3 linked regions of the Macaca fascicularis genome follow. The protein of the gene in region 1 interacts with the protein of each later gene in a biochemical or structural test. Links are inferred from orthologs where the notes say so. Each region holds a gene or a part of one and is shown in the gene's direction. Other genes may lie near its edges. The genes, in order: CTSB, CSTA and CSTB.

Evidence for each region.
Region 2: the proteins of CTSB (region 1) and CSTA form a complex in vitro, tested with the Homo sapiens proteins (3 studies listed by BioGRID and IntAct, with this or other methods). The link is inferred for Macaca fascicularis from reciprocal best matches to the Homo sapiens genes CTSB and CSTA.
Region 3: the proteins of CTSB (region 1) and CSTB form a complex in vitro, tested with the Homo sapiens proteins (2 studies listed by BioGRID). The link is inferred for Macaca fascicularis from reciprocal best matches to the Homo sapiens genes CTSB and CSTB.

The regions. Positions count from the first base shown.
Region 1 is NC_088382.1:9,045,279-9,055,020, forward strand, and holds the start of CTSB (cathepsin B), read left to right. Parts: upstream 1-4,409; 5' UTR 4,410-4,473; intron 4,474-4,816; exon of another isoform or gene 4,817-6,024; intron 6,025-7,521; exon of another isoform or gene 7,522-7,613; intron 7,614-9,742. UniProt on the Homo sapiens protein: Thiol protease which is believed to participate in intracellular degradation and turnover of proteins. Cleaves matrix extracellular phosphoglycoprotein MEPE. Involved in the solubilization of cross-linked TG/thyroglobulin in the thyroid follicle lumen.
Region 2 is NC_088376.1:160,914,932-160,924,520, reverse strand, and holds the start of CSTA (cystatin-A), read left to right. Parts: upstream 1-3,569; 5' UTR 3,570-3,618; coding exon 3,619-3,684; intron 3,685-9,589. UniProt on the Homo sapiens protein: This is an intracellular thiol proteinase inhibitor. Has an important role in desmosome-mediated cell-cell adhesion in the lower levels of the epidermis.
Region 3 is NC_088377.1:3,288,656-3,298,294, forward strand, and holds the start of CSTB (cystatin-B), read left to right. Parts: upstream 1-4,983; 5' UTR 4,984-5,022; coding exon 5,023-5,088; intron 5,089-9,639. UniProt on the Homo sapiens protein: This is an intracellular thiol proteinase inhibitor. Tightly binding reversible inhibitor of cathepsins L, H and B.

The DNA.
Region 1 (9,742 bases):
GATTAGGATCCAAGCAAGGATTTCGGGGCCTCATTTTTTTTTTTCTTCTCATCCTGGCTGTGAGGAGTAAAACGAGAGTGTTGGGAAAGGAGACCCCTGTGCAAGGGAATATTTAAACCTTTTCCCCAAGCCCGACAGGAAGCTCTGCTTCATGGTAGTTCCAAACCTGTGGGTTTAGGTGAATTGGGGGGTGTCAAGGGAGGTGAGAAATGCTCCTCCAAAGACACATTCCTTTCATCTGCTGGAGGTCGCAGGAGATCAATCCTTCAGGCTCATGAAAGGCCTGGAGGAAAAGTTTTGTTTTGTTTTTTTTTTTTTGAGATGGAGACTCAATCTGTCGCCCAGGCTGAAGTGTGGTGGCGCCATCTCAGCTCACTACCACCTCTGTTTCCTGGGTTTATGCAATTCCGCCTCAACCTCCCCAGGAGCTGGGACTACAGGCGTGCGCCACCACATTCAGCTAATTTTTGTATTCTTATAGAGATGCGGTTTCATCACGTTGGCCAGGCTGGTCTCAAACTCCTGGGCTCAAGCAATCCGCCCGCCTCGGCCTCCGGAAGTGCTGGGATTACAGGCGTGAGCCACTGCGCCTGGCCTATTTTAAACAGATTTGGGTAGGAAGGTTGGTCTGATCTTACAAGACCTTGAACTCGAAGCAAATTTGAACTAATGGGTTTAAGCACTAACTGGGAGGAAAGACAGGTTAGAGAGGATTCACTCTTACCAGGAGGCACTCTGTGGAGCCCGTACCTGGGAGAAAGAACTGGCCATCCCAAAACCGTCAGACTCCGATTGTCAACTACAGAAGAACCCACTGCATATCTACAGAGGCCATCCATTAAAAACCGTTCAGCACAGTCTCACTTCCCGGGATTTAGAAGCTGTTGGAGGTCAGAGGCCATCCGGTTCACAAGGGTTTGTAAAATAAAGGAGAACAAATCGGGCATTTGCTCAGAAAAGAGGCCTCTTAATAGGGTCTCATTTAGAGGGTGGGGTGCGAAGAGTTGTTTTCAGGACTTCCGAAATCAACTTTTTGTTTTTTAGTTTTTGTTTTTGTTTGTTTTTGGTAACAGCTTTACTGAGATAGAATTGACATAAATATTCACCCTTTAAAGTGCACAGTTTCATCATTTTTAGTATATTCACAGAGTTGTGCAATCATCATCACAAATCAATTTTAGAATATTCACGGCCGGGCGCGGTGGCGCACGCCTGTAATCCCAGCACTTTGGGAGGCCAAGGCAGGTGGATCACGACGCCAGGAGATTGAGACCAGCCTGGCCAACATGGTGAAACCTCATCTCTACTAAAAATACAAAAATTAGCTGGGCATGCTGGCGGGTGCCTGTAATCCCAGTTACTCAGGAGGCTGAGGCAGGAGAATTGCTTGAACCCGGGAGGCGGAGGTTGCAGTGAGGCGAGATCGTGCCACTGCACGCCAGCCTGGATGACAGAGCAAGACTGTCTCAAAAAAAAAAAAAAAAAAAAATTCATATTAGCCCCCAGAGAAACCCCACACCTTTTAGCTGTCACCTACCTAACCTCCCATGTGCACTCCCCCAGGCTAAAGGCAATTATGAATCTAGTTGCTATCTATAGATTTGCCTATTCTGAGGATTTCATGGAATCATACAACACGGGGTCCTTTGGGCCTAGCTTATTTTACTTAGCAAATGTTTTCAAGGTTTATCGATGCAGCGTGTGTCACTACTTCATTCCTTTTTACAACGGAATAATAATACTCCATTTGGTGCATTTATGACTGTTTATTCATGCAATGGTTTTTAATGGATGGACATTTGAGTTGTTTTCACCTTTTGGTTATTGTAAATAATGCTGCTATAAATATCTGGTGCAAGTTTATATATATATGTGTTATTAACTTTTGGTGTAGAGATGGGGGTCTCACTATGTTGCCCAAGCTGGTCTTGAACTCCTAGGCTCAAGCAATCCTCCCACCTCCGCCTCCCAAAGTGCTGGGATTACGGGCGTGAGCCCACTGTGCCTGGCGGATTTTTGTGAGGACATATGTTTTCATCTCTTTCAGGTGTTAACTTGGGTCTCTTTTACAGATGTTCAACAAGCAAACAGCTTTTACACATGTAAGTCAGGTCTCTCTGTAAGTTCTGAGAGCTGTTCCCCAGGCCCTGAACCCTGATCCCCAAATCTAGCAGGTTAAGCCAAAATTCTCCTCAACTTCAAGGCCTACTTCATTCATTACACATCCACTCAACGCACATTTCTCCATCCTCTGCTATGGGCCAGACAGGCTGCAATGTGCTGGGATGAAGCGGGGGAACAACACAGGTAAAAATCCTTGCCCAGGTGGCGCTTAAGATCCAGTGAGGGCAGGAAGGAACATACACAAGTAAATATGCTGTACGTTCCTTTCTCCGTGAAGCTTTCCTAGATGTCCCAGGAAGGGATGAATTCTACTCTGGTAGTCATTTATTTCTTTTATTTTCTTTGAGATAGAGTCTTGCCCAGGTTGGAATGCAATAGCGTGATCTCAGTTCACTACAACCTCTGACTCCCTGGTTCAAGGGATCCTCCTGCTTCGACCTCTTGAATAGTTGGGATTATGGGCATACGCCACCACACTCAGCTAATTTTTATATTTTTAGTAGAGACGAGGTTTCCACCATGTTGGTCAGGCTGGTCTTGAACTCCTGACCTCGTGATCCGCCCGCCTCAGCCTCCCAAAGTGCTGGGACTACAGGTCTAAGCCACCATGCCCAGCCTATTTCTTTTCTTTTCTTTCTTTCTTTTTTTTTCTTTTTTTTTTTTTTTTTTGAGAGGGAGTCTTGCCCAGGTTGGAGTACAATGGCGTGATCTTGGCTCACCGCAACCTCCACTTCCCAGGCTCCAGCAAATCTCCTGCCTCAGCCTCTCAAGTAGCTGGGATTACAGGCGCATGCACCACCACGCCCGGCCAATTTTTGTATTTTTAGTAGAGACTGGGTTTCACCATTTGGGCCAGGCTGGTCTGGAACTCGTGACCTCAGGTGATCTGCATGCCTCAGCCTCCCAAAGTGCTGAGATTACAGGCGTGAGCCACCACACGTAGCCTGTTTCTTTTGTTTCAAGAGTTATTTTTACCTCTCAAAAGTGATTTATGTGACACTGATAGAAAATTCCATCAAACAGCCATAATGCATATCAAGCACTCTGCTCTGCATACCTTCTGTCACACTCTAAGGATGCGAGAGGGGAAAGAGTTATGCTGGTTCTGGCTGTGTCCTCCCCATTTTGGCTATCTTATGAGCTCTTTATAGAGGTCTGAAATGATTTGACTTCCATATGGAAGACAGCATGCCCCAGCACTGATTTGGAGTCTGGAGTCCATGGCCCTCAGGATAGGGCTAGGGTGAGCAGGCAGTTGGGACCACCTTGACCTCCAGCCTTCTGGTCTTCAGTTCCTTGGGTATCCCACTCCGCTGGGGGCTTAGTGACCATGTTTGGGCTCCAGAGATTATTTTTTCCTTCCACTCCTATCCTTAGTCTGGTACTAACCAGGCGGGAATACAGGTATGACTCTGAAGACCCTGGCAGGCTCAGGGCTGTGTGACAGCTGACGACCCGGCTGCAGGGAGCCACGTCCCTTGGAGTCCTACTGCCTTTTTACTGTCGCCACAGCCTGGATAAAATACGATGATTCTTCTGAACTTTTTTTTTTTTTTTTTTAAGGCAGAGTTTCACTCTTGTTGCCCAGGCTGGAGTGCAATGGCATGATCTCGGGTCACCGCAACCTCCGCCTCCCGGGTTCAAGTGATTCTCCTGCCTCAGCCTTCCGCGCCACCACGCCCGGCTAATTTTGTATTTTTAGTAGAGCCGGAGTTTCTCCATGTTGGTCAGGCTGGTCTTGAACTCCCAACCTCAGGTGATCCGCCCGCCTCGGCCTCCCAAAGTGCTGGGATTACAGGCGTGAGCCACCGCGCCCAGCCTCTTTGAGCCTCTTGAATACAGGGGTCATGCCTGCCTTGCAGGTTTGTCTTTAGGATTAGAGCTGTTTGGGGAGGGTCTGGAGGAGGGTGTCTTGAGCCAACCCCAGCATCTCCCCTCCAGGCCCTCCCGCTAATAAACCCCAAGTAAATGTTCACTTTGTCAGTCCTCTCGGAGCAGGTCTCCCGGGACTCCTGTGCCAAGCCGATTTCCGCCCCCCAAGGTCCTTCTCCTCCTCTGTAGAAATCCTGACGCAGCTCCTAGGTTCCTTCGCGGTGACAGCCACCCTTTTCTATTTGTACGTAGCTGGAGTGTTTTGTGGGTACGTTCTCAGAACAACAAAGTGGAGCGTTTAAAGACTGTTCTGTAGGGTCCACAGCCTCGCCACCCCCAGCCCCTGCAGCGGCTTCTGATGAATGAAATAAGCGACGGCGCCCTCTCCCCCACCCCGCCCCCGCCAACCCGGCAGGCAGGGATCCCCGGCGCCGGTTCTGGCGGAAGCGGTCCCGCGAGGCGGGGGGACTTTTCTAGGTGGGGTGGGGGCTCTGGGACCACCTTTCGGGGCTTTTTCCCCATCCCCTGGCCCCAATTCGCAGCGTTTCGCCACCCAGGGCCCGCAGGGCTCCAAGCCCCTCTTCCCCAACCCGCGCGCTCAGGCCCCCGCCCTCCCCGGCGGTGTCCCCTGACCCCCGGCGGAAGGGGTGGGGGGGTGCGGGGCCGGGAAGAGGGGAGCGCGGGCGGCGGAAGGTGGCGGGAGGAGGTGGGGGCTGGGAAGCGGGGTGCGCGGGCAGCGGGAGGGCACGGGCGGGGCTGCGCGGTAGTCACGTGGCGCAGGACCGGGAGGGTACTTAGGGCCGGGGCTGGCCCAGGCTACGGCGGCTGCAGGGCTCCGGCAACGGCACCGGCTCCGCGGCGCGCAGGCTGGGCTGCAGACTCTCGGCGGCAGCGTTCGGTGAGTGCCGGGGGCGCGGGGTCACCGCGGCGGAAGTGACCTTGGCGGGGACGGTGCCACCGGCCGCCGAGACGGGTTCTTCTGCGTCCCCGGTCGGGCCTAGGCGCGGCCCCGCGGCGTTCCTGGGGGCAGGTGGGGAGCCAGGACCCTCGGGACTGACCCTGACTGGCGGGCTGGGGTGGGAGCCCGCGCACTCCGAAGCGTCGACAAGAAAAGCAGAAAACAGCCCCGCCGGCCCGCCCGCCAGCCCCCTCCCCTCTGCTCCCCTCCCCGGCCTGTGCGCGGGACCCCGGCCCCCGGAGCGGGGAGGCGGCCAGGAGCCCCGAGGGAGGCGCCTGCGAGGAAGAGCTCGGCTAGGTCCGGAGGCTGCTGCCTGGGGTCGCGCTCCCAGCGCCTGGGCCTCGGTGTCCCCGGGACAAACTGCCGAGATTATCGCATCTGCCGGCATCTATTTTCGGTTTATTTCCCCCTCGTTCCAAAGGATTTGCCTGGCCAACTTTCTGCGCAAGATCCCACACAATTCCTGGGACCCCAGAAGACAGGTCCTGTTGAACAGGGATCTGGCACTGGGTGGGCTGGGGAGGAACCCGCACGGAGTTAAATCCATAAACAGGAAGAGAAACCAAGCTGCGAAACCAAGAGGCGAATGGGCGATTGGATGCCGGGTGGGGAGAAGGCCAGGGACGCTCCCTGCCCCCTGGACTCCAGTAAAGGGAAGCCGGGCAGAGTCCCTGGGGCCCTACCTCCCCCTCGGTTAGTAGCCCTGGAGGCCGGGGGGAGTTGGCCTCTGGGGAGCAGTAGGTGCCTGGGTGTGGGGCGCTGCAGGCAGGCTGGGGTGGGTGACCCAGCTGGAAGTGAATTGCACTTGGCTTCTTGGTGGGCCTCTGTCACCCCCTTCCCCAGGCATCGAGGAAGCCAGCAGGCTGGCAAGGAAAAGGATCCTAGCGCAGGCCCTACACCCCTCCTCCTAACGGAGGAGAGACCCCCAAACCCACTGGAGAAGCGATGCTGTGGGGCTCAAAGGCAGACCTGGCACGTTTTTGTAGCCTAGAAAAACTGATCCCCACTGCCTCCCGCCGGAGGAGAGGATAGCTGAGATGCACCCTCTTTCAGTCCAAACGTTCAGGAAGGTAAGGCGAAGAGGCCTAAGAGGGCGTTGGCTTGGTTAAGGGCTGCTCTTTCTCTTCCATAACATCGGTTCTTTTTTTTTTTTTTTTTTTGAGATGGAGTCTCGCTCGGTCTCCCAGGCTGGAGTGCAGTGCCGCAATCTCGGCTCACTGTAACTTCCGCCTCCCAGATTCAAGCTATTCTCCTGCCTCAGCCTCCCGAGTAGCTGGGATTACAGGTGCCTGCCACCACACCCAGCTAATTTTTGCATTTTTAGTAGAGATGAGTTTTAACCATGTTGACCAGGCAGATCTCGAACTCCTGACCTCAGGTGATCTGCCTGCCGCGGCCTCCCCATGAGTCACCATGCCTGGCCTGGCGGAGAACTGTTTCTTCTTGGTGATGGTGACTTAGAACCCGCCAGCTCCTGGAGAAAGGGGCTGGGCCGCCCACCCTGTGTAGCTTTCCCAAAGACAGAGTCAGACGTCTCCTGGAGAGCAGAGGCTTCTCCTTTTTGGTCATTTGTCCCGGAGCTGGGGTATCCCCTGGTGGAAAGGCACAGGTCTCTTGGCCCAGGTGGCAACGCAGACCAGACACGGCCCTGGCACAGCTCTCGCCCCAACAGCTCTCCTGGATGTTGGCTCAGGACAGCCCTGTTGTCAACTGGTCAGGCGGCGAGGGGTGGCAGCCCTTTGGCTCCAGGTTGAAGCGGCCCATGTGGTGCTGATTTAGCAGTTTGGTGAGGCTCTTCTCCTAGGCAGCTTCTTTTCTTTCCCTAGCTGCGGGACCTGGGAGTTGGAAGATAAGTTGCACCCATTTTAGGGGTAACAGATATTTTCTGTTGCTCTTGGTTGGATTGGGAAATGAAGGGAGATCACGTTTCAGGGGTGCCTTGGGATGTCTGTCGGTGATGCTCTCTTTCTTTCTTTCTTTTTTTTTTTAAGACAGACTTTCCCTCTGTCGCCCAGGCTGGAGTGCAGTGGTGCACCCTCCACCTCCCAGGTTCAAGCAATTCTCCTGTCTCAGCCTCCCAAGTAGCTGGGATTGCCGGTGCCCATCACCACACCTGGCATTTTAAAAAATTATTTTTAGTAGAGACGGGGTTTCACCATGTTAGCCAGGCTGGTTTTCTAACTCCCACCTCAGGTGATCCGCCTCAGCCTCCCAAAGTGGTAGGATTACAGGTGTGAGCCACCACGCCGGGGTGGGGGTGATTTTCTTAAATCTGTTAATGAGTTATGGTTGTGTAGAATAATATACCTTCCTTTCGAGATATGGACTGAAACATTGAGAGGGAGGAGTTACAGGTATGCCACTTCTTATCCTTTTCTCTTTTTTTTTTTTTTTTTTTTTGAGGCGGAGTCTCACTCTCTCACCCAGGCTGGAGTGCAGTGGCAAGATCTCAATTCACTGCAGCCTCCGCTTCCTGTGTTCAAGCAATTCTCCTGCCTCAGCCTCTTGAGTAGCTGTGATTACAGGCATGCGCCTCCACACCCAGCTAATTTTTGTATTTTTAGTAGAGATGGGAGTTTCGCCACGTTGGCCAGGCTGGTCTGGAACTCCTGACCTTGTGATCTGCCCACCTCGGCCTCCTAAAGTGCTGGGATTACAGGTATGAGCCACTGCGCCCGGTCTGCTGCCTCTTTTTGATGGCCTGGTGTAAGGAAATTATTGGAAAAATGTGCTGTTGAGTGATATTTACTGGGCACTTCCACATGGTACATGTAAAGGGAGATGGTTGGGGTGGCAGGCAGTTGAGTCTAGGGGAGGCATGTACAGATGTGTTGTGCCTCTGGGACATCAGGGTGGCAGGCAGCAGTCTCTATGTCTGGTCCCAGGCTGCCTGAGAAAGAGTGTGTGGGAGGCAAACCTTGCGCCCTGGCATAGTTGTTAAAGTTTATATTTACCCTAGCTTGTGTGGGGTAGGAGGTTTAGGGATCAAATTTCACTCTGTGTTTAGACTTTTTTTTTTTTTTTTTTTTTTTGAGACAGAGTCTCACTCTGTCACCCAGGCTGGAGTGCTGTGGCACAATCTCCCAGGTTCAAGCAGTGCTCCTGCCTCAGCCTCCCGAGTAGCTGGGATTACAGGCATGCACCACCACGCCTGGCTAATTTTTGTATTTGTAGTAGAGACAGGGTTTCACCATGTTGGCCAGGCTGGTCTTGAACTCCTGACCTCAAGTGATCCCCTGCCTTGGCCTCCCAAAGTGTTGGGATTACAGGCGTGAGCCACTGTGCCCAGCCCTGTGTTTAGACTTTTAACTAATCTCGTTTTTAGCTTCAAGCCTTATCCTCCGCCTCTACAGACCACTCCTGTGCCTGTTTACTGGTTCTTCCAGGGGCCATTTTATTCCCTGTCTGCTGCTACTCATTTGAATTCTCCTGCACATTTTTTTGTTCATTCATTCATTCATTCATTCATTCATTTATTGTTTGGTTCATGGCAGGGTCTTGCTTTGTCTCCCAGGCTGGTGTGCAGTGGTGCGACCATGGCTTACAGCAGCCTCGGCCACCCAGACTTAAGCGATATGGTTCCCACCTCAGCCTCCCAAGTAGTAACTAACTGGGAGCACAGGCGGTACCCAGCTTTTTTTTTTTTTCTTTGTAGAGACAGGCTCTCTCTGTTGCCAGGGCTGCTCTGAAACTCCTGGTTTCAGGTGATCCCCTTACCTCCTCCCACTTGGGCCTTCCAAATGCTGGGATTATAAGGCGTGAGCCAACTCCAGGCCTTTTTGTACTTTTAAAACTCTGCATCAGTGTATAAACAACGTTTAAGGGCCGGGCGCGGTGGCTCAAGCCTGTAATCCCAGCACTTTGGGAGGCCGAGACGGGCGGATCACGAGGTCAGGAGATCGAGACCATCCTGGCTAACACAGTGAAACCCCGTCTCTACTAAAAAAAATACAAAAACTTAGCCGGGCGAGGTGGCAGGCGCCTGTAGTCCCAGCTACTCGGGAGGCTGAGGCAGGAGAATGGCGTAAACCCGGGAGGCGGAGCTTGCAGTGAGCTGAGATCCGGCCACTGCACTCCAGCCTGGGTGACAGAGCGAGACTCCGTCTCAAAAAAAAAAAAATAAAAATAAAAAAAAAATAAACAACGTTTAAGTTTATATGACTTCAGTTCCATTACATGGTTCCTTTTTCACTCACGGTTGTGAGATTTATTTCTGTTGATACATCCAATTCTAGTCCATTTGTCTTAAGTGCCCAGTGTGTTTATCTACTGAGGGACAGTTATATTATTTCGTTTTCACTATCATCCCCTGCTACAGTAAATATCCTGTCTCCCAGATGCTTGGAAGAGTTTCTGCAGGGCAAATGCAGGAGAGCTTGTTCTGGGTCCTGAGGTGTGTTCATCTTCCGTCTTGCTAGATGTTGGCAAAGGGTTCTCCAGTGTGGTTGCATCAATTTACACGCCCAGCGTATGCAGAGTTCCTGTTCCTGACATTTACCAACACTAGATACTACCAGACTTTGATTTTTGCCAATCTGATGGATTTGAAGTGGTACCCTTGTTTTAATTTCATGACCAGAAATTCAAATTTAATCTTTGCCATAGGAAAACATTAACCCACTTATGCCTAGTGTTCCATTATTGGAACGCTAAGCATGTGGGAGTTTTTACATCGTACTGCTCAAGGTCATCACCAAGGTCTGATGTTTTTACTCAGCAGCAATTCAAAAAGTTGCAACCTCTGGCATAAATGGGTTAATGAGTGACATTTTTCCTGTTTTTATTGTT
Region 2 (9,589 bases), on another chromosome or scaffold:
CAATCTACTGCACAGCTTTCAGGGCCATTAGAAATTGAAACGCTATCTTCTTCTGTTTGAAACAGTTCTAAAGCTACTTTAATAATGACCCAATCATTCCATACTGTAAGTGGGATGATCTTACCTTCCCTACTTGCTTGTTTTAATTATTTGCCAATTTTTTCCCAGTCTTTTAGATCTAAAGTTCCCTGTTCCAGAAACCATGGGCAAAACTGTTCTATTGTTTGAAATAGCATAATTAGATTATTGGTAAGAGACTTTAACTCCCCCTCTTTTTAAGAGAATTTTAATAAAGCTGCGATAAGAGGCATATTTACTTTTAGTTTGCCCCATTGTTACCCTAGGTTCTTCCGAGCACACCAGCTTACCGCAAGGCTGACTGTAGACATACTCGGGAGTCTGTCGTTGACTTGTCCTCAATGACCACGCTCCAGCGTACCTTCACCTTAGAGAAAAGCACCCATGTCGGGCACCAGATGAAGGGGTGGCCTGCCCCTCCACACCTGTGGGCGTTTCTCGTTAGGTGGAATGAGAGACTTAAGAAAAGAAATGAGACACAGAGACAAAGTATAGAGAAAGAAAAAGTGGGCCCAGGGGACTGGCACTCAGCATACAGAGGACCCACGCGGGCACCAGTCTCTGAGTTCCCTCAGTATTTATTGATCATTACCTTTACCATCTTAGAAAAAGGGAAGTGGCAGGATAATAGGATCATCGTAGGGAGAAGGTCAACAGTAAGACATATGAATAAAGATCTCTGTGACATGAATAAGTTTAAGGAAAAGTGCTGTTCCTTGGTATGCATATGCAAACATCTCCATAAAACTTTTTAGTGCATAAAGAGCAACATTGCGGCTAGCACGTCCCACCTTCAGCCCTAAAGTGGTTTTCTCCTTTCTCAGTAAACAGAACATACAATCCGGTTTTACACCAAGATGTTCCATTGCCCAGGGATGGGCAGGAGACAGATGCTTTTCTCTATCTCAACTGTCAAGAGACCTTCTTTCCTCTTATGGACCTTTGGCAGTGTAGGTGTCCCTGGGTACTTGAGATTAAGAGAATGGTGATGACTTTTCACAAGCATACTGCCTTCAGGTACTTGTTTACCAAAGCCCAACCTGCACAGCCCAAAATCCGTTAAACCTTGAGTCACCACAGCACATGTCTCTTGCAAGGACAAGGTTGGGGGTAGGGTCACAGATTAACAGCATCTCAAATACAGAACAAAATGGAGTCTCTTATGTCTACTTCTTTCTATATAGACACAGTAACAGTCTGATCTCTTTTTCTTTTCCCCACAGTTACAGGAGGAATACAAAAGACAAAAGCAATATTTGCTTTGGGGAAGTTTTTACTTCTACAATAAATTATTGAGAATCAATAGGAAAGAGCTGAAAGTACAGGGCATAGACCCCAAAAAGAGAAGAGTAGACTTGCTTTTTATCATATCCCTTACCACTGGGGAGATTCAATAAGGATGGCCTGGACTAGGATGTAAGTGAACAACTAAAAATGGGCTGCAGGCTTGGAAAAATGTCAGGGGCCTAAATATGAAAGGACTTGACTTGGGGAGGTCACATGAAGATGAGTAGAACCAGTGGCCTATGAAAGCTGAGCCAAAATCTTCAGATGACCTGTGGCCTCTTGAGGGAGAACCTTGTCATCCACATTCGCTGTTCTTCTTAATCCACAGGGTAAAGGCATTCTGTGGAGAGATTACCTGTGTAGCGCCCCTTAGTTTAGCCCATAAGACACTCACCTAGCTCCAAGAATTTGCCAAGCACCTACCAAACATGATTATAAAGAAACAAGCACCTCCCTGTATTGTGATATAGAACAATCTCCAAAATATATTGTTAGGAATAAAACAAAAAGTGTAATCATTTATATAGAATACCATTTTTATAAAAGAAAACCTATATAGATGTATATTTATCTATGTGTATGTGCATGTGTGTGTAGCCAATTATTATTATTATTATTATTTTTTTTTTTTTTTGAGACACACTATTGCTCTGTTGCCAGGCTGGAGTGCAGCGGCACAATCTTGGCTTACTGCAACCTCTGCCTCCCAGGTTCAAGCAGTTCTTCTGCCTCAGCCTCCCGAGCAGCTGGGACTACAGGTTCATGCCACCATGCCCAGCTAATTTTTGTATTTTTGGTAGAGATGGAGTTTCACCATGTTGGCCAGGATGGTCTCAATCTCTTGACCTTGTGATCCACCTGCCTCGGCCTCCCAAAGTGCTGGGATTACAGGCGTGAGCCACCGTGCCCAGCCTCCAATTATTTTTATATTTGTATGTGTATAGAATGTCTCTGAAGGATACAGAAGAAGTTGGTGCCAATAGTTGTCTCTGGAAAGTATTCACTCATTAAGTGAGTGAATAATTCCTTATATTGTACAGCCTGGTTCCTTTCAAACATTTTTATCTTGTGTATGTATTATATATTCCCAAAATTGAATAATATAATATACATAAATATTCAGACAACGTGGTCATTTTGCTTCTAGATAAGTTGCCTGCAGAAGCACTCACTTACGTACAAAAGGGGAAAAAATGCAACATTGTTTGTAAGAATGAAACACTAGAAACAACCAAAATCATCATCAGTAGGGAAATGAGTATATAAAATATGAACTAGTATATAGCAGTTAGATAGGTAGACTAAATAGATAGGTCTAGCATAAAGTAGCATATCGCGGTTAAAGGAAATGAACAGGATTGATCCATCTGTGGATTGATCTATGTGTATATCAACATGGAAAGGCTCAAAAACATGTTGAAGAGAAAAAGGAGCATAACATAGAATATATTTAGCATACAATTTAAGTGAAATTTTAAAAACACACCAAGTAAACGTATAAAAATGACCTGGAAGGATATCAATTCACAATGTACTTTGCTTCTGGACAGCAAGGTTATGTGGAGTGTGGGGCTTCCTCCATATCTGTAATATTTTATTTCTTAAAAATAACTACCAAAATAAAAGATAGCAAGCAAACATGACAAAAAGGTTAAAAATTTTAACTCTGAGTGATAGAAATATAGATGTTTGTTATTTTATTCTTTGTGTTTTTTCTGTATGTTAAACATCTCCAGATATTTAAATAAGAGTAAAGAAGACACATCCAGCCCAGGTCCTCCAGATAGATCGGTTTGCTTTCTTTCTAAAGTCAAGTAAATTCTAAATTAACCTTGACATTATTAGTAAGTTTTGCTTTAAAAAAAATAAAATTTTGTGTTAGAAGTTTTAAAACATTTGGAAATTCTAGTTGTAGTTTCAGATTTCATAATTCAGATGATGCAACAGGATGGAACCATTGTCAAAGAGAATGCGGGGATGTTTGATGCTTGTTAGGACATGACTCCTATACTTGCCTGTTTGTTCATCCTCCAACCCCTCTTTCTTCCAAATTCCATGTAGCATATTCTGTCCAGGAAGCAAGAAGACTTGCTTGGAGGCATACTCATTTTCCCCATGCCTCTTTGCTATTTCTGGAAAATAAAGCATTCTATAGGCGGAGCTAGTGAATGCCTCTTTTAACACACGAGTCTCCACACTTCCCTATTCACTTTGGTTCCAGCATCCTGTCCAGCAAAGAAGCAATCAGCCAAAATGATACCTGGAGGCTTATCTGAGGCCAAACCCGCCACTCCAGAAATCCAGGAGATTGTTGATAAGGTGAGTTGATGCCATTCAGGAAAAAGTCTGAGCCAAAATCTTGATTCATAAGTTGTCCTGGTGGAAAGGATGTGGCTGAACATGAAAACTAGAAGTTTAGGATGTGTGTGACTTTGTTCAGGTTTCTTTACAACTAAGATGAAATAAGAGGTTTTCAGATGAAACCTCGAATAATCCCCAAACTGTGAGTGTGACCTTGAGTGAATCACATTTCTTCTCTGAACTTCATTTTCTCCATGTGTAAAAGAAGAATTTGTATTGTATCATCTCTAAAGCTCAATCCTAGATATGATTCTAGCATTACTAATTCAGTTTCTGATACAACTTTTCTAATCTCACCAAGTGAAGCCAACATGTAATTGAAGTGTAAGGTTATTAACAGTTTGATGAAGTAGTCTTGGAATGTACTGCAGGGAAATTTTTAAAAAATAGATTGAATGAAGAATAATATTGTAAAGGCAATCTATTTACAAATTTCATACACTTATGCCCAAATATACAGTGTTTTAGTCTTTTCAGAGTTAAAGGGTGATTCAGCTAATGGAGAAGAGAAGTGATAGTCTAAAGTGACTCCAAAATGTCAGAGGCTGCCAAATTATATACGGAAAAATAGAACTCAATGTTATTAGCGGATTGATATGTTTTTCTCTTTTTCTTTTTTGTTTTGTTTTTAAGAGATGGGGTCTCATTCTGTCACCCAGGCTGGAGTGCAATGGTGTGATCATGGCTCACTGTAGCCTCAACTTCTCCAGCTCAGGCGATCCTCCCCACTCAGCCTCCTGAGTAGCTGGGGTTACAGACTCATGCCACCATGCCTGGCTGATTTTGGGGGTTTTATTTTGTTTTTAGAGATGGAGTTTCATTCTGTTGCCAGACAGGTCTTGAATTCTTGGGCTCAAGCCATCTACTCACCTAGGCTTCCCAAAGTATTGGGGTTACAGGTGTGAGCTACCACACCCGGCCCTGATATATTTTTCTAAGTGTTGTGTGATTAGCTATCATCTAGCTATGCAGTAAACATTTAGTTGCATATTTTATGAAGGAAAACATGTACAAATTACCATTTTAGGTTTTTAGTTTGTTACCTTATTTTCTTGTATTATTCCTTCTTGTTTTTTCTCTCTGAAACATCATTCCATGACAGTGTGGAACACAAGATCAGCTTTTGTGTGATTATAAGAGTTGGGATCCTGTATATTCAGGGAACTAGAAAGCTCTCTAAGGGGCCAGATGCCTAGAATCCCATCACTCATTCTTGGGGACTAATTATTTCTCTTTCAAGCGTTCTTTTTAAAAATAAATATCTTGGAGCTTTTTTTCTGGGAGATGATATTAAGTCAGTAATTTCTTCATGTGAATCCGCAGATCAGATCCATGTTCTCAAACTTGAATGTGCACATGAATCACCTGCAGGTCTTGATAAACCTTAGATTCTGATTCAGGTGGCCTGGGGGAGGTCTGAGGTTCTGCATTTCTACCAGACTCCCAAGTGCTGCTGCTGCTGCCACCCATGGCCTCACTTGCCTGCAGAATCAGAGATGTATGGCATCCTACAAGGCCAGGGGGAGATGGCGCTTTAAAAGCCAGGGTGCAGGCTGGGTGTGGTGGTTCATGCCTATAATCCCAGCACTTTGGGAGGCTGAGGCGGTTGGATCACGAGGTCAGGAGTTCGAGACCAGCCTAGCCAACATGGTGAAACCCCGTCTGTACTAAAACTACAAAAAGTAGCTGGGAGTGGTGGCAGGTGCCTGTAATCCCAGCTACTCAGGAGGCTAAGGCAGGAGAATTACTCAAGCCTGGGATGCAGAGGTTGCAGTGAGCTGAGATAGTGCCACTGCACTCCAGTCTGGGCAACAAAGCAAGACCCTACCTCAAAAAAGAAAGTCAGGGTGCCAAAATAAAATTTGTCTATTTCATTTGAAAAATGAAGGTAACACCTCTTGCCCTACCGATGTCAGAGCTGTAAGGACTAAGTGAGAAAATGTGCATAAAAATAACTTGAAAATGAAAAACAAATGTGCATAGGTGAAGCATCACAATTGTTTGCTTCAAATTTGTGGCTGAAAGCATCCCTGATCCTAAAAAATCCCCCTGAGACTCTCTAAGGACCAGAGCTGTAGAAAGACAGGGAAAAATAAATTTGAAATAGAGACAGTACAGAAAATTTTAATGATTTTTTTAAAAATCTATCACTTGATTAGCAATAATTATTAATTTTTAAAATAAGAAGCTACCAGAGGGCCTTGCATTGTTAATAACACCTATCTGTGAGTCCCATTTTAAATTATAAAATTGATTTGAAAGTGTGTGTGTGGCAGAGAGGAAGCTGCTTCCCTTTGGCTCAAATGTCATCAGAGAGGTAGAATGAGAGATAAACATTAAGAACAGCTACCTCACCCCAGAAAGGAGCTTTGCAGTTTTAAAAAGCTTGACCTCCATTCAAACTCTGATTTCATCTTCATAACCCCTGGGGCAGGCAGGGAAGGTATTGTGTCTATCTTACAGATGATGAAACCAAGACTTAAAGAGATTAAGAGTCACTTAGTTAAGCTGGGCAAGGTGGCTCAAACCTGTAATCCCAGCACTTTGGGAGGCTGAGGCGGGCGGATCACCTGAGGTCAGGAGTTCAAGACCAGCCTGGCCAACATGGCGAAACTCTATCCCTATTGAAAATACAAAAATTAGGCGGCGTGGTGGCAGGTGCCTGTAATCCCAGCTACCCAGAGGCTGAGGCAGGAGAATCACTTGAACCTGGGAGGCGGAGGCTGCAGTGACCCAACATCGCAACATTGTACTCCAGCCTGGGCCACAGAACGAGACTCCCGTCTCAAAAAAAAAAAAAAAAGAGTCACCTAGTTAAGAAGTTAGCTCACCCCCAGTGTCTGACTGCCTGCACTCTCCACCACACAGTGGCAGAACACAGAGGAGCTTTGTTAGGAAAGGGAAATACACTGAGTGGAGAGAGTGTGTTAAGTTTGTCTTCTCAGTGGAAGCACCAGCCTCAAATTTAAGTCAATATAGGAGGCCAAGGCAGGCGGATCACCTGAGGTCAGGAGCTCAAGACCAGCCCGGTCAACATAGCGAAACCCGTCTCTACTAAAAATACAAAAATTAGCTGGGCATGGTGATGGGCGCCTGTAGTCCCCGCTACTCAGGAGGCTGAGGCAGGAGAATCGCTTGAACCCAGGAGGCGGAGGTTGGAGTGAGCCGAGATCGTGCCACTGCACTCCAGCCTGGATGACAGAACGAGACTCCATCTCAAAAAGTAAAAAAATCTTAAAATTTAAAAGTTAAAAAAAATTTTTTTTTAATCATTAGAGGGACAGGTGCGGTGGCTCACGGCTATAATCCCAGCACTTTAGGAGGCAGAGGCGGGCAGATTGCTTGATCTGGGGGATTCAAGGGCATCATGACAAAACTCTGTCTCTACCTCCTCGAAAATACAAAAAAAAAAAAAAAAATAGCCAGGTGGTACACACCTGTAGTCCCAGCTACTTGGGAGGCTTAGGTGAGACGATCACTTGCACCCAGGAAGTTGAGGATGCAGTGAGCCATGATCACGCCACCGCACTCCAGCCTGGCCAACAAAGTGAGACTTTGTCTAAAAAAAATACATAAATAAATAAATAAATATAGGAAATGAATATCAGTGAATCATTTCATGGTTGGTGCATTTCTTGTATATCTCCTAAGTGTCTAGCGTTATGCTAATTATTATAGAAGCTACATAAGGGCTGTAAAATATGGCCCCTGGCCTCTAGCAGTTTATACGGTAGTTGGGAAAAATCGAGATATCTGGAACAGTATATAAAACAATATCCAATTAAGTACTTTTTCATAATCATAGGTTTTGGACCAGAAAAGATGTTAGAGATTGCTGGTCAAACCTCCTTCCTTTCAGGTAAATAATTACTGTGAGGCAGTTCAGCTACTCCCGTGTTAAAGCCCGGATTATCACTTATCTGCCCTCTCTTGCAGGAGTGAGCCTTAGGGCACAATTTCCAGTTCAGTGTTAGAAGGTAGAGGAAGAGTTGGAAAACTCGTTGTAGTTTAGGAAGCACTTTCACATCATTTATATCATTTATGCCCCTACAAACAGCCCCAAGAGGCAAGTGTTATTACAACCACTTTATAGGTGAGAAACTTGAGTCAATTCCTTCTCCAAAATTACAGTAGGTCCCCATGCAGGAACAGGGAAAATGGGTAGGTGCTGGCAATTCAGGGACAATCTCCACTACCTGTCACTTACTTGCTAGTTTTACTTTTTGATTTTTGAATGTATTTCTGTTTTTTTCTTTTTTTTGAGACGGAGTCTCGCTCTGTCGCCCAGGCTGGAGTGCAGTGGCTGGATCTCAGCTCACTGCAAGCTCCGCCTCCCGGGTTCACGCCATTCTCCTGCCTCAGCCTCCCGAGTAGCTGGGACTACAGGCGCCCACCACCTCGCCCGGCTAGTTTTTTTTTGTTTTTTTGTTTTTTTTTTTGTATTTTTTAGTAGAGACGGGGTTTCACCGTGTTAGCCAGGATGGTCTCGATCTCCTGACCTCGTGATCCGCCTGTCTTGGCCTCCCAAAGTGCTGGGATTACAGGCGTGAGCCACCGCGCCTGGCCCTGTATTTGTGTTTTTTAAAATCACCTGTTAAAGTGCAAGTATTCTCAGAGGAGCTGAAGTTTATCAGCTTTCCTTGGCCTTCTCAGAGAGCTTCTTAGTGGAAGGCCAACTGAAGAACCCCATTAGAAGGAGAGAAAGAAGAAAAAGACATCACATAGAGAAGGGAAGAGTATCAAAGACAAATGTTAACTGCATGGTCAAGGAATTTGATATCACAGTGAAAGAGGAATATTGGATGAGGGCAGAAAGAAAAGAAAGGCAAACAAAGGGGATGGCAATTGAGAAAACTTGAAAGTTTTCGAAGGCAGGAGAAATGAGTTTTCCCATTCTGAAAATAACAGAGACTGAACATGTCATTGTAGCATCATGTACTAAAGTACACTTGGAAGAAAACCCTCTTCCAAGATTCTCTGTATTAGCTGAGGTCATTGCTATACTCATCTTTCCTATTTGGGAAGACAAGTTGTCAGGATGGAAAACAACTGTGGTCTTTTCATTCAGAAAACATTGGTTAGGTAGACAGAACTGTGTGAACTGCTATGGGGATAGCAGGGACATAAAATAGTGCCTGCCCTTGTGGAAATTTATAAAATAGAATGGATCTAAGAGGGACACATCCCAGAAAGACAGAGCCATACATAATCCCATTCATGAAAAGCCACAATCTGTATAATGAAGAACCAAATAAATGAATGGCCCAACAGCAAAAGCCTCCAGATCATTATTGCTGATTCATTATCTATATAATATGTTAATGAGCGTTTGATGAGAATTCTGAGCATGTTTATGAGAAGGAAAGAAATGTTATTTAATTATTTTTAGAAGGGTTATACATGCAATGTGCATGCACACAATGAACACACACACACACACACACACACACACACACACACACACACTCCCCTTAGTCATAAACCTAATTGCTAAATACTATTCCTGGCTAACACACAGAGCATGATTTTTGTTGGTCAGGACACCACACAAACACCTCATCTGCATACCATCCTGGGCACACCCTGGAACTTAGTATGTCATGGCTCTAACCCCATCCACAAATTTGCATTCCCCTCTCTGACCACAGCCTCCTCATTAGTCGCCTCTCCCACTGTCCCACACCCAAAGAACCTGCCATTCAGCCACACCAGAATCCTTCAGGCACCTACCTTCCCATCTTCATGATAACACACCCAGGCCCACTCAGTCTCTCATCCAGCCTGGACCCCATGACAGGAGGATAGCTTCAGATACTCCTCCACTCATGATGATTTCCTTGACCCTGGGAGCTCCTAGCTTTCT
Region 3 (9,639 bases), on another chromosome or scaffold:
CCATCCTGGTTAACATGGTGAAACCTCGTCTCTATTAAAAACACAAAAAAATAGCCAGGCGTGGTGGTGGGCCCCTGTAGTGCCAGCTACTTGGGAGGCTGAGGCTGGAGAATGGCGTGAACCCGGGAGGCAGAGCTTGCAGTGAGCCAAGATCGCACCACTGCACTCCAGCCTGGGTGACACAGCGAGACCGTCTTAAAAAAAAAAAAGGGGGTTCACTTTTCTCAGATAAGAAATATTCATAATTTTTTTCTTTTTCATTCTCTAAGTGGGGAGACAAGATATTTAGTCTTTCTCCCTTGCCTTTAGTAAAATGAAAAACTCTGGCATCAAAGAATGGGAGGTAAAAGTCAGTATGGTTGGGCGTGATGGCTCATGCCCGTAATCCCAGCACTTTGGGAGGCCGAGGTGGAACTGCCCAACAGGTTCTTCCAGCCTGCTGTACAAAGGCGATGGCATTGCAGTAAAGAAAGTTAATTGCCGGGTGTGGTGGCTCACGCCTGTAATCCCAGCACTTTGGGAGGCCGAGGGGGGTTCATCACCTGAGGTCAGGAGTTTGAGACCAGCCTGACCAACACGGTGAAACCTCGTCTCTACTAAAAATACAAAAATTAGCTGGGCGTGGTGATGCATGCCTGTAATCCCAGCTACTCGGGAGACTGAGGCAGGAGAATCGCTCGAACCTGGGAGGCGGAAGTTGCAGTGAGCCAAGATTGCGCCACTGCACTCTAGCCTGGGAGACAGAGGGAGACTCTGTCTCAGAAAAATAAAATGAATTGATGTGAGGCTGGCCATGCCACAAGGGAGATGGAGTGGTTACTCAAATCAATCTCATCGCAGGCCTGAGGGTTAGGGTTTTTCAAAGGTAGTTTGGGGGAAGGGGTTGGGGTGGCTAGGCAATGGGTGCTTGCTGCTGGCCGAGTGGGTCAGAGATGAAATCATGGGAAGCTGTCCTCTTGCACTGAGTTGCTTCTGGGGAGGGGCCACAGGAGCCACGGTCAGAACAGGTTCTGGACCGAGTTATAACTGAGCATTCAGCAGAAATAGAGTTACAGGCCGGGTGTGGTGGCTCATGCCTTTAATCCCAACACTTTCGGAAGCCGAGGCGGGTGGATCACCTGAGGTCAGGAGTTCATAGACCAGCCTGGCCAACATAGTGAAACCCCGTCTCTATACAAAAATTACCTGGGCATGGTGGCACCTGTAATCCCAGCTACTTGGGAGTCTGAGGCAGGAGAATTGCTTGCACCTGGGAGGCAATGGTTGCAGCAGTGAGCCAAGATCACGCCACTGCACTCCAGCCTGGATAACAGCGAGACTCTGAAGAAAGAAAGAAAGAAAGAGACAGAGAGAGAGAAAGAGAGGAGGCGGGGAGGCAGGGAGAGAGGGAAGGAGGGGATAAGCAGGGAGAGAGGGAAGGAGGGGGGAGGCAGGGAGAGAGGAAAGGAGCGGGGAGGCAGGGAGACAGGGAAGGAGCGGGGAGGCAGGGAGACAGGGAAGGAGGGGGGAGGCAGGGAGAGAGGGAAGGAGGGGGAGGCAGGAGGGGAGAGGCAGGAAGAGAGGGAAGGAGGGGGAAGGCAGGGAGAGAGGGAAGGAGTGGGGAAGGCAGTGAGAGAGGGAAGGAGCGGGAGGCAGGGAGAGAGGGAAGGAGGGGGGAGAAAGGGAGAGAGGGAAGGAGGGGGAGGCAGGAGGGGGGAGGCAGGGAGAGAAGGATGACTGAGTGTTCGTTAGGCTACACTTTAGCCCACTTCCTTCTGAGAGTCACGTAGCACTAGTGACCATCTGCACTCCCACTGTTCCTACAGATGGAATCTCTGACTTCAGAATCATGAGACTTTTGTTCTTTTGTTTAAGAACTCCTGGCCGGGCGCGGTGGCTCAAGACTGTAATCCCAGCACTTTGGGAGGCCGAGACGGGCGGATCACGAGGTCAGGAGATCGAGACCATCCTGGCTAACACAGTGAAACCCCGCCTCTACTAAAAAATACAAAAAACTAGCCGGGCAAGGTGGCGGGCACCTGTAGTCCCAGCTACTCGGGAGACTGAGGCAGGAGAATGGCGTGAACCCGGGAGGCGGAGCTTGCAGTGAGCTGAGATCCGGCCACTGCACTCCAGCCTGGGTGACAGAGCGAGACTCCGTCTCAAAAAAAAAAAAAAAAAAAAAAGATGTTTCAGATCCTTAATTCCAGGCCAACCAGCTTGAAGAGCCCCACAGAGGAAGTGAACCAGCATGAAAACACAGCTTCTTCAACCCCACCCCATGACTTCACCCTGCACGCCTCCACCCATCAGCGGCCCCCGCCCTCAGCCCACTCCAAATCCCTAAAAGTCCCCAGCCCCATACTCCTCAGGGAGGTGGATTTGAGGTCTCCTCTCAGTTACAGCCTTGTGGTCCAAACTGTCTGCTGCAAACCCTGGGTGGCAGTGTGCTGACTTCCCACACCCTGGGCAAGAGACCTGTCGTGGTCACACTCCTAGTGAGCCCCTCTTCCGGCTCCCAGGCCACAGCCTCCCTTAGGTGCACCTGAGCCTCCCCTTCCCATTCCAGGCTCTTCCCTGGCCCTGCCTCCGCCTGCTGAGGAATCTCGGTCAACACAAGAGAGGATGGCGACTCCCTTGTACAGCAAGCCCTGAATAAATGACCTTTTGTTCTCATGTGCGTGGGCTCTGTTTATTTCCACAGCTGTTATCCTCCTATTTGTACAATGGAGGCACCTAGGACCCAGTTCCAGCCTGGAGAGTGAGGATCCGACTCCAGGAGGCACCTCAGGACCAAAGGCCTCAAGGCCAACACCTTCCACAGCACAAGCCCCACAGAGCCGCAGGACCTGTACAGGCAGCGGACATCCCTTTCTCTTGACCATTTTTTCCTCTGATGCTTTGTTTTCCACATAGAAGAGTTTTCCATGTTCGTGGGGTCAAATCTGCCTTCACTCATTCAACAATGATGCAGGTCTCTGCCCAGCTCCCCCCAGGCTTCAACCACACCTGACTGCCTGAAGTGACAGACCAGGCTGTGCCCTGGCAGGTAAGGGAAAGGCCCCCACAACTCATTCATGGGCTGCTCCTGCTTGGGCCTTCTACCAAGGAGCGGACCAGTCCCCCTGAGGGACAGCCCTTGGGTGGGGTGTCTGGTCATTTTGAAGAGCCAGTCACACCAATAGGTGCCTAGCACAGGCCCCACCCCCACCCCAAATAAGGCAAGCGACCCCTCCCTTTCCCAGGTGGTCCAGTCTAACACAAATCGTAAACCAAAGGGCCTGTGTGGTGGCTCAAGCCTGTCATCCCAGCACTTCGGGGGATGGATCGATTTTAGCCTAGGAGTTCAAGACCAGCCTGGGCAACATAGTGAGACTCCATCTCTACAAAAACAGTTTTTAAAGAAATTAGGGGTGCAGGCCAGGCACAGTGGCTCATGCCTGTAATCCCAGCACTTTGGGAGGTCGAGGCAGGTGGATCACGAGGTCAGGAGATGGAGATCATCCTGGTTAACACAGTGAAACCCCGTCTCTACTAAAAATACAAAAACTTAGCCAGGCGTGGTTGTGGGCGTCTGTAGTCCCAGCTACTCAGGAGGCTGAGGCAGGAGAATGGCATGAACCCAGGAGGCAGAGCTTTCAGTGAGCCGAGACCGTGCCACTGCACTCCAGCCTCGGCGACAGAGCAAGACTCCGTCTCAAAAAAAAAAAAAAATTAGGGGTGTAGTGGCTCATGCCACTAATCCCAGCACTTTGAGAGGCCGAGGTGGACAGATCGCTCGGAAGTTCCAGACCAGTCTGGGAAACATGGTGAAACTCTCTGTATATGCGTGTGGTAGGGTGAGCCTGTTACTATAGCAGCTGAGGTGGGAAGATCGATTGAGCCCAGGAGGTCCAGGCTGCAGTGAGTTGTGATCAGGCCACTGTACCCCAGCCTGTCCAACAGAGCAAGACCCTGCCTAAATTAAAAAAAAAAAAAAGAACGAAAGAAAGAAAAAAAAAAAAGAGGTCAGGCTCGGTGACTCATGCTTGTAATCCCAGTACTTTGGGAGCCCAAGGCGGGTGGATCATGAGGTCAGGGTTCGAGACCATCCTGGCCAATATGGGGAAACCCCGTCTCTACAAAAAACACAAACATTAGCCGGGCGTGGTGGCGCGCTCCTGAAATCGCAGCTACTGGGGAGGCTGAGGCAGGAGGAACGCTTGAACCCGGGAGGTGGAGATTAGAGTGAGCCGAGATTGAGCCACTGCACTCCAGCCTGGGCGACGGAGCGAGACTCTGTCTCAAAAAGAAAAAAAAAAGAAAAAAGAAAAAAAAAAAAAAAGAAAAGGAAAAGAAAAAAGAAAAGAAATCCTAAAACTCAAATTCCAATTCCACCAGAGAACCCTGCCTTCTTCTCATCCCTCTGATCTAACCCCTGCCCCCACCCAGCCTGGGGCGCATGGGCGCGTCTCCTCCTCCCTGGGCCTCTCTGTCCACCCGCTTCAGCCTTCAGTGTCCTGGGTCACAAGCGGTGATGTCCACAGCAGCCAGCACACCTGCTTCCGCAGGGCCGGAACCCCTGACCCCTGTAGCGCTGCGCCCACCCCACCCGTGCCCTCCCTCGTGCGCGGCCCGGACCCCGCCACACTGCAGGACGGCTCCCCCTCCGACTGCCCCTCCCTATGGTCCCACCCTGCGCGCCCAACCCACCGGCGACACCCGGCCGCGCCCCCGCCCCAGTCCTTGTGACTCGGCGCCTGGAAAGACCACACCAACCCCGGGAGGGGGGCGCTGCTTCCCGACACCGGCCCTGGGCGCGGAGACGGAGCCCGCGGAGCGTGGTAGCCAGGCTCCCAGCCCCGCGCCTTCCCTGCGCCCCGCCCCGCGCGCCCCTTATTGCGGGGCCACCGCGACCCCGCAGGGGACGCCCAAGCCAAGGTCCCCCCTCCCCGCGCCTTGGTTCCGCCCGCGTGTCACGTGACCGCAGCGCCTACTTGAGCAGAGGAGCCGCCGCGTCCCGTCGCCGAGTCCCCTCGCCAGGTTCCCTCCGACGCCGCCAAGATGATGTGCGGGGCGCCCTCCGCCGTGCAGCCGGCCACCGCCGAGACCCAGGACATCGCCGACCAGGTGGGTGGGCCCCGGGGACGGGGCCGGCCCGGGGTCCCGCCTGAGCCTCAGGGCGAGGCCGCGGCTCCTGGAGCGGGAGAAGCCACTTCGGCCCCGCTGCGCACCTGGGCGGGCGGGTTCGGTCCTGGACCCCCGGGCTGGCCGGGCTGTGGCCGTGAGAGGCCTCCCTCCGCTCGGGCGCTGCGTGCGAGTGTGCAGGGGAGGGGGCCGCGCCTGGGTCGGCGCTGGGGAGACACTGGGCTCCGCTGAATACAGCAAGGGCGAGTGGCAACTGATAGCCCCGGAGCAGGGTGCGGTCCCTGGATGGACAATCCCTGAGGGGAAACCCCAGGCATGAGGCGCTTCAGGTGATCGGGCGTCGCCGGCGATGGCGCAGGTGAGCAGCCGGCTCCAAACTTCACGGTGACCCGATAGCAAGCGGGTGGGGAGGGTCTGGCCAAACGGACTTAGCCAGGCTTCTTGCTAAAATTGGATTTTACAAGGAAGTGCGCAGGTGGCCTAGGCGCTTCAGGAGCCCGACTACAGTTTGGCCAAGCAAGAATCTTTGTCAGTATCTTCAACTAGTTCAGGCAAATATCATGAGAGAGTGCAAGAGGTCCCCAGCGATAAGGCACATGGGTTAAAAACTTAAGCGTATCTGCACAAAGGGTCTACAGGTTTCTTTACACGCTTCTGATTCTAACACTGTTTCAAACTGTAAGTCTAAATAAAAAGCTAAAACACACAAAAAAACAAGATAAAAACCGGGCTGGGTTGCAGAGGGCAACCTTCCCTGTGCCTCGGTTTCCTCGTCTGTAAAATGGACGTCCTGTTGCTTTGCACCTTCCAGAGGATTCTAGAGGGGCTTCAGTGAGCAGGTCCTCTGCAGGAAGCCCCTCCGGTGGAGCACAGGCCGGGCCCGCCTCCCTGTCATAGTTGGTGACCAAGTGGATGCCCCAAGCAGGAACAGGTCCAGGCGATGCTGAGGCCTGGGTTTTTTGTTTTTTGTTTTTGAGACGGAGTCTCACCCTGTTGCCCAGACTGGAGTGCGGTGGCGCAATCTGGGCTCCCTGCAACCTCCACTTCCCAGGTTCAAGAGATTCTCCTGCCTTAGCCTCCTGAGTAGCTGGGATTACAGGCATGCACCATCATGCCCGGCTAATTTTTGTATTGTTAGTAGAAACGGGGTTTCACCAGATTGGCCAGGCTAGTCTTGAACTCCTGACCTCAAGTAATCTGCCCGCCTCAGCCTCCCAAAGTGCTGAGATTACAGGTGTGAGCCACCATGCCCAGCCGAGGCCTGTTTTTGTTTTGTTTTTGTTTTCTTTGAGACAGAGTCTCGGTCTGTTGCCTAGGCTGGAGTGCAGTGGCATGATCTCAGCTCACTGCAACCTCTGCCTCCTGGGTTCAAGCTATTCTCTTGCCTCAGCCTCCCAAGTAGCTGGGATTACAGGCGCCCGCCACCTCACCCGGCTAGTTTTTTGTATTTTTAGTAGAGACGGGGTTTCGCCATGTTGGCCAGGCTGGTCTGGCCTGTGTTTTGAGTAAGGAGAGGAAAAAGGAAACAAATTTCTTTTCCTTTATTTTTATTTATTTATTTATTGACACAGGGTCTTGTTCTGTCACCCAGGCTGGAATGCAGTGGCACAGCCTTGACCTCCCGGGTTCAAGCGATTCTCCTGCCTCAGCCTCCTGAGTAGCTGGGACTACAGGTGCACGCCACCACGCCTGGCTAATTTTTGTATTTTTAGTAGAGACGGGGTTTCACCATGTTGCCAGGCTAGTCTCAAATTCCTGGGCTCAAGCGGCCCTCCAGCTTCACCCTTCCACAGTGCTGGGATTGCGGGGGTGAGCCCCGCCCAGCCTTCTTTCTCACTGGGACTGCAGGCGTGAGCCCTGCCCAGCCTTCTTTCTCCTTTTATCTTTCCTCCCCTCTGCTGCTTCCTGAATGTGATCAGCCCACAGCCTCATCACTCAAGGGTTTTTGACCATCTGACTGCAGGAAGAAGGGCAGAATGAGTCAGTCTCATGACACCTTTGGAAATGAGGCATTTTTGTCCGGCCGGTGCCTGCCCAGGCTGCTTGTGGGAGCCGCACCTGGAAAAGTGGTTCCTCTCCCCGACAGCCACTCATAGAAGCCTACCCAGCTCTTCCTTACCCGTTTCCTGGCTTTCCAGGCCTAAGACATCCCGCATTGTCACCCACTCTGAACTTCGAATGAGTTCTTGTTGCAGCCAGGAGAAAAGAGTCCCTGTCTCAAAAGTGACCTGAGTGGGCCCAGCCATGGCTACTGGGAGGGGCGTTAAGGCAGGCGTATGAACCAGGCAGCCCATTTGCCGGGTGGTCTCTAAGGAAGGGCGGGAGGGAGGGGCAGGGGCGCTTCCTGGACACCCCCTAGTCGGGCCCTGTCTTACCGACTCCTTATGGGAGCGCTCGAGCTGAGTGTTCCTATCATACTTTGCAGACAAGGAAGGTGGAGACCAGAGCCTGACTTGAGCCCTAAGGCCAGCAGAGTTCCTCATTCTGTGCCACTGCATGGGGGACCCTCCCCCAGAGCCACCCCTGCGCCTTCGCAGCCCGTCTGCCCCACTGTCGACACCCCCAACACAGGTGACTGGTCGGTCACTTGCGGCTTTCTAACTCATCCTGCCTTTCAGGGCTCCCCCGGTGAGAGGCCGGCCCCTGCTGCTCCCTGTCAGCGGCGTCAGTGCCCACGTCAGTGCCCACGCTGCACAGGTGGCCTGGCCTGGAACCAGCACCTCCACGGTGCACAGCCTCCTCCACAGCCTCCTGGGGGTTTCCCTGCCATGCCCTGCAGACTTTGCTGCTCCTGCTCCCGAAACAGCAAAGAGAGGGGCCAGTGCTCATCCTCCCATGCCCTAGGGCGGGTCTGTGGGCGAGACACAACCTGAGCCCTCAGTGACTGGGGGTGAGGGCTGCCACACTGGTGTGTCCCCGCAAGCCCACTGGACATTGCTGGGAGAGGGGCACACAGCTTGGTCTCCAGACACAGGTAGCCACTGTGCCCATGCAGCGAGAAGCATGGCGGCCTTGAGCAGAGAACATGGGGGGCAGGAGGGCACCTTCCCTTCCCCACCTCCCCAGCCTTTCCTGCCAGGGCCCCAGGCCTCTCTTCTCCAGCCTGTCCCAGCAAAGGCCCTCCCTGGCGCTGGGAGGTGGTGGGGCCTTGGGCCAGGTTGCCCTGGTGGCTCCGCTACCGGTAATACTGGGTGACTCCCTTTCTTTCCCAACTGGTGTGCTTCCTGCCACTTCCTTTTTGTTTGTTTGTTTTGAGATGGAGTCTTGCTCTCTTGCCAGGCTGGAGTGCAGTGGTGCGATCTCAGCGATCACTGCAACCTCCACCCCCCAGGTTCAAGCGATTCCCCTGCCTCAGCCTCCTGAGTAGCTGGGGCTACAGGCGTGCGCCACCACGCCCAGCTAATTTTTTGTGTTTTAGCAGAGACGGGGTTTCACCGTGTTGGCCAGGATGGTCTTGATCTCCTGACCTCGTGATCCACCTGCCTCAACCTCCCAAAGTGCTGAGATTACAGGCGTGAGCCACTGTGCCCGGCCTGTTTTTTTTTTTTTTAAACTAAACCCCTAATTCTCTGGGACCGGCTTCGTCACTCCGGTACACTCTTGTGCTTACCCGTTAACCTAGGCAGCAGCCAGAGCACTTTTTTTTTTTTTGAGACAGGGTCCCACCATATCTCCCAGGCTGGGCTGCAGTGGTGCAGTCATCGCTCACGGTAACCTCGGACTCCAGGACCCCAGCGATCCACCTCAGCCTCTCCAGTAGCTAGGATCACAGACGCATGCCACCACATCTGGCTGATGTTATTTATTTATTTATTTTTTTATTTTATTTTTTTTGAGACGGAGACTTGCTCTGTCTCCCAGGCTGGAGTGCAGTGGCAGGATCTCGACTCACTGCAAGCTCCGCCTCCCAGGTTCACGCCATTCTCCTGCCTCAGCCTCCCGTGTAGCTGGGACTATAGGCGCCCGCCACCGCGCCTGGCTAGTTTTTGTATGTTATTTATTTTTTAGAGATGGAGTCTCCAACTCCAGGGCTCAAGCAATCCTCTGGCGTTGGCCTCCCAAAGTTTTGGTATCACAGACAGAAACCACTGTGCCTGACCCCAGAGTACTTTTAAACTACGTTAGATTTAATTGTTTTTTTTTTTTTTTTTTTGAGATGGAGTCTCACTCTGTTGTCCAGGTTGGAGTGCAGTGTCGCAGTCTCAGCTCACTGCAACCTCTGCCTCTTGGGTTCAAGCGATTCTCCTGCATCAGCCTCTCAAGTAGCTGGTACTACAGGTGTGAGCCAGCACACCCAGCTAATTTTTATATTTTTAGTAGAGATGGAGTTTTGCCACATGGGCAGGGGTGGTCTCGAACTCCTGACTTCAAGTGATCCGCGTCCTGGGCCTCTCAAAGTGGTGGGATTACAGGTGTGAGCCACCACACCTGGCCTTTTTCTTTGAGACAGAGTCTCACCGTGTCACCCAGGCTGGAGTGCAGTGGTGTGGTCTCAGCTCACTGCAACCTCTGCTTCTGGGGTTCAAGTGATTC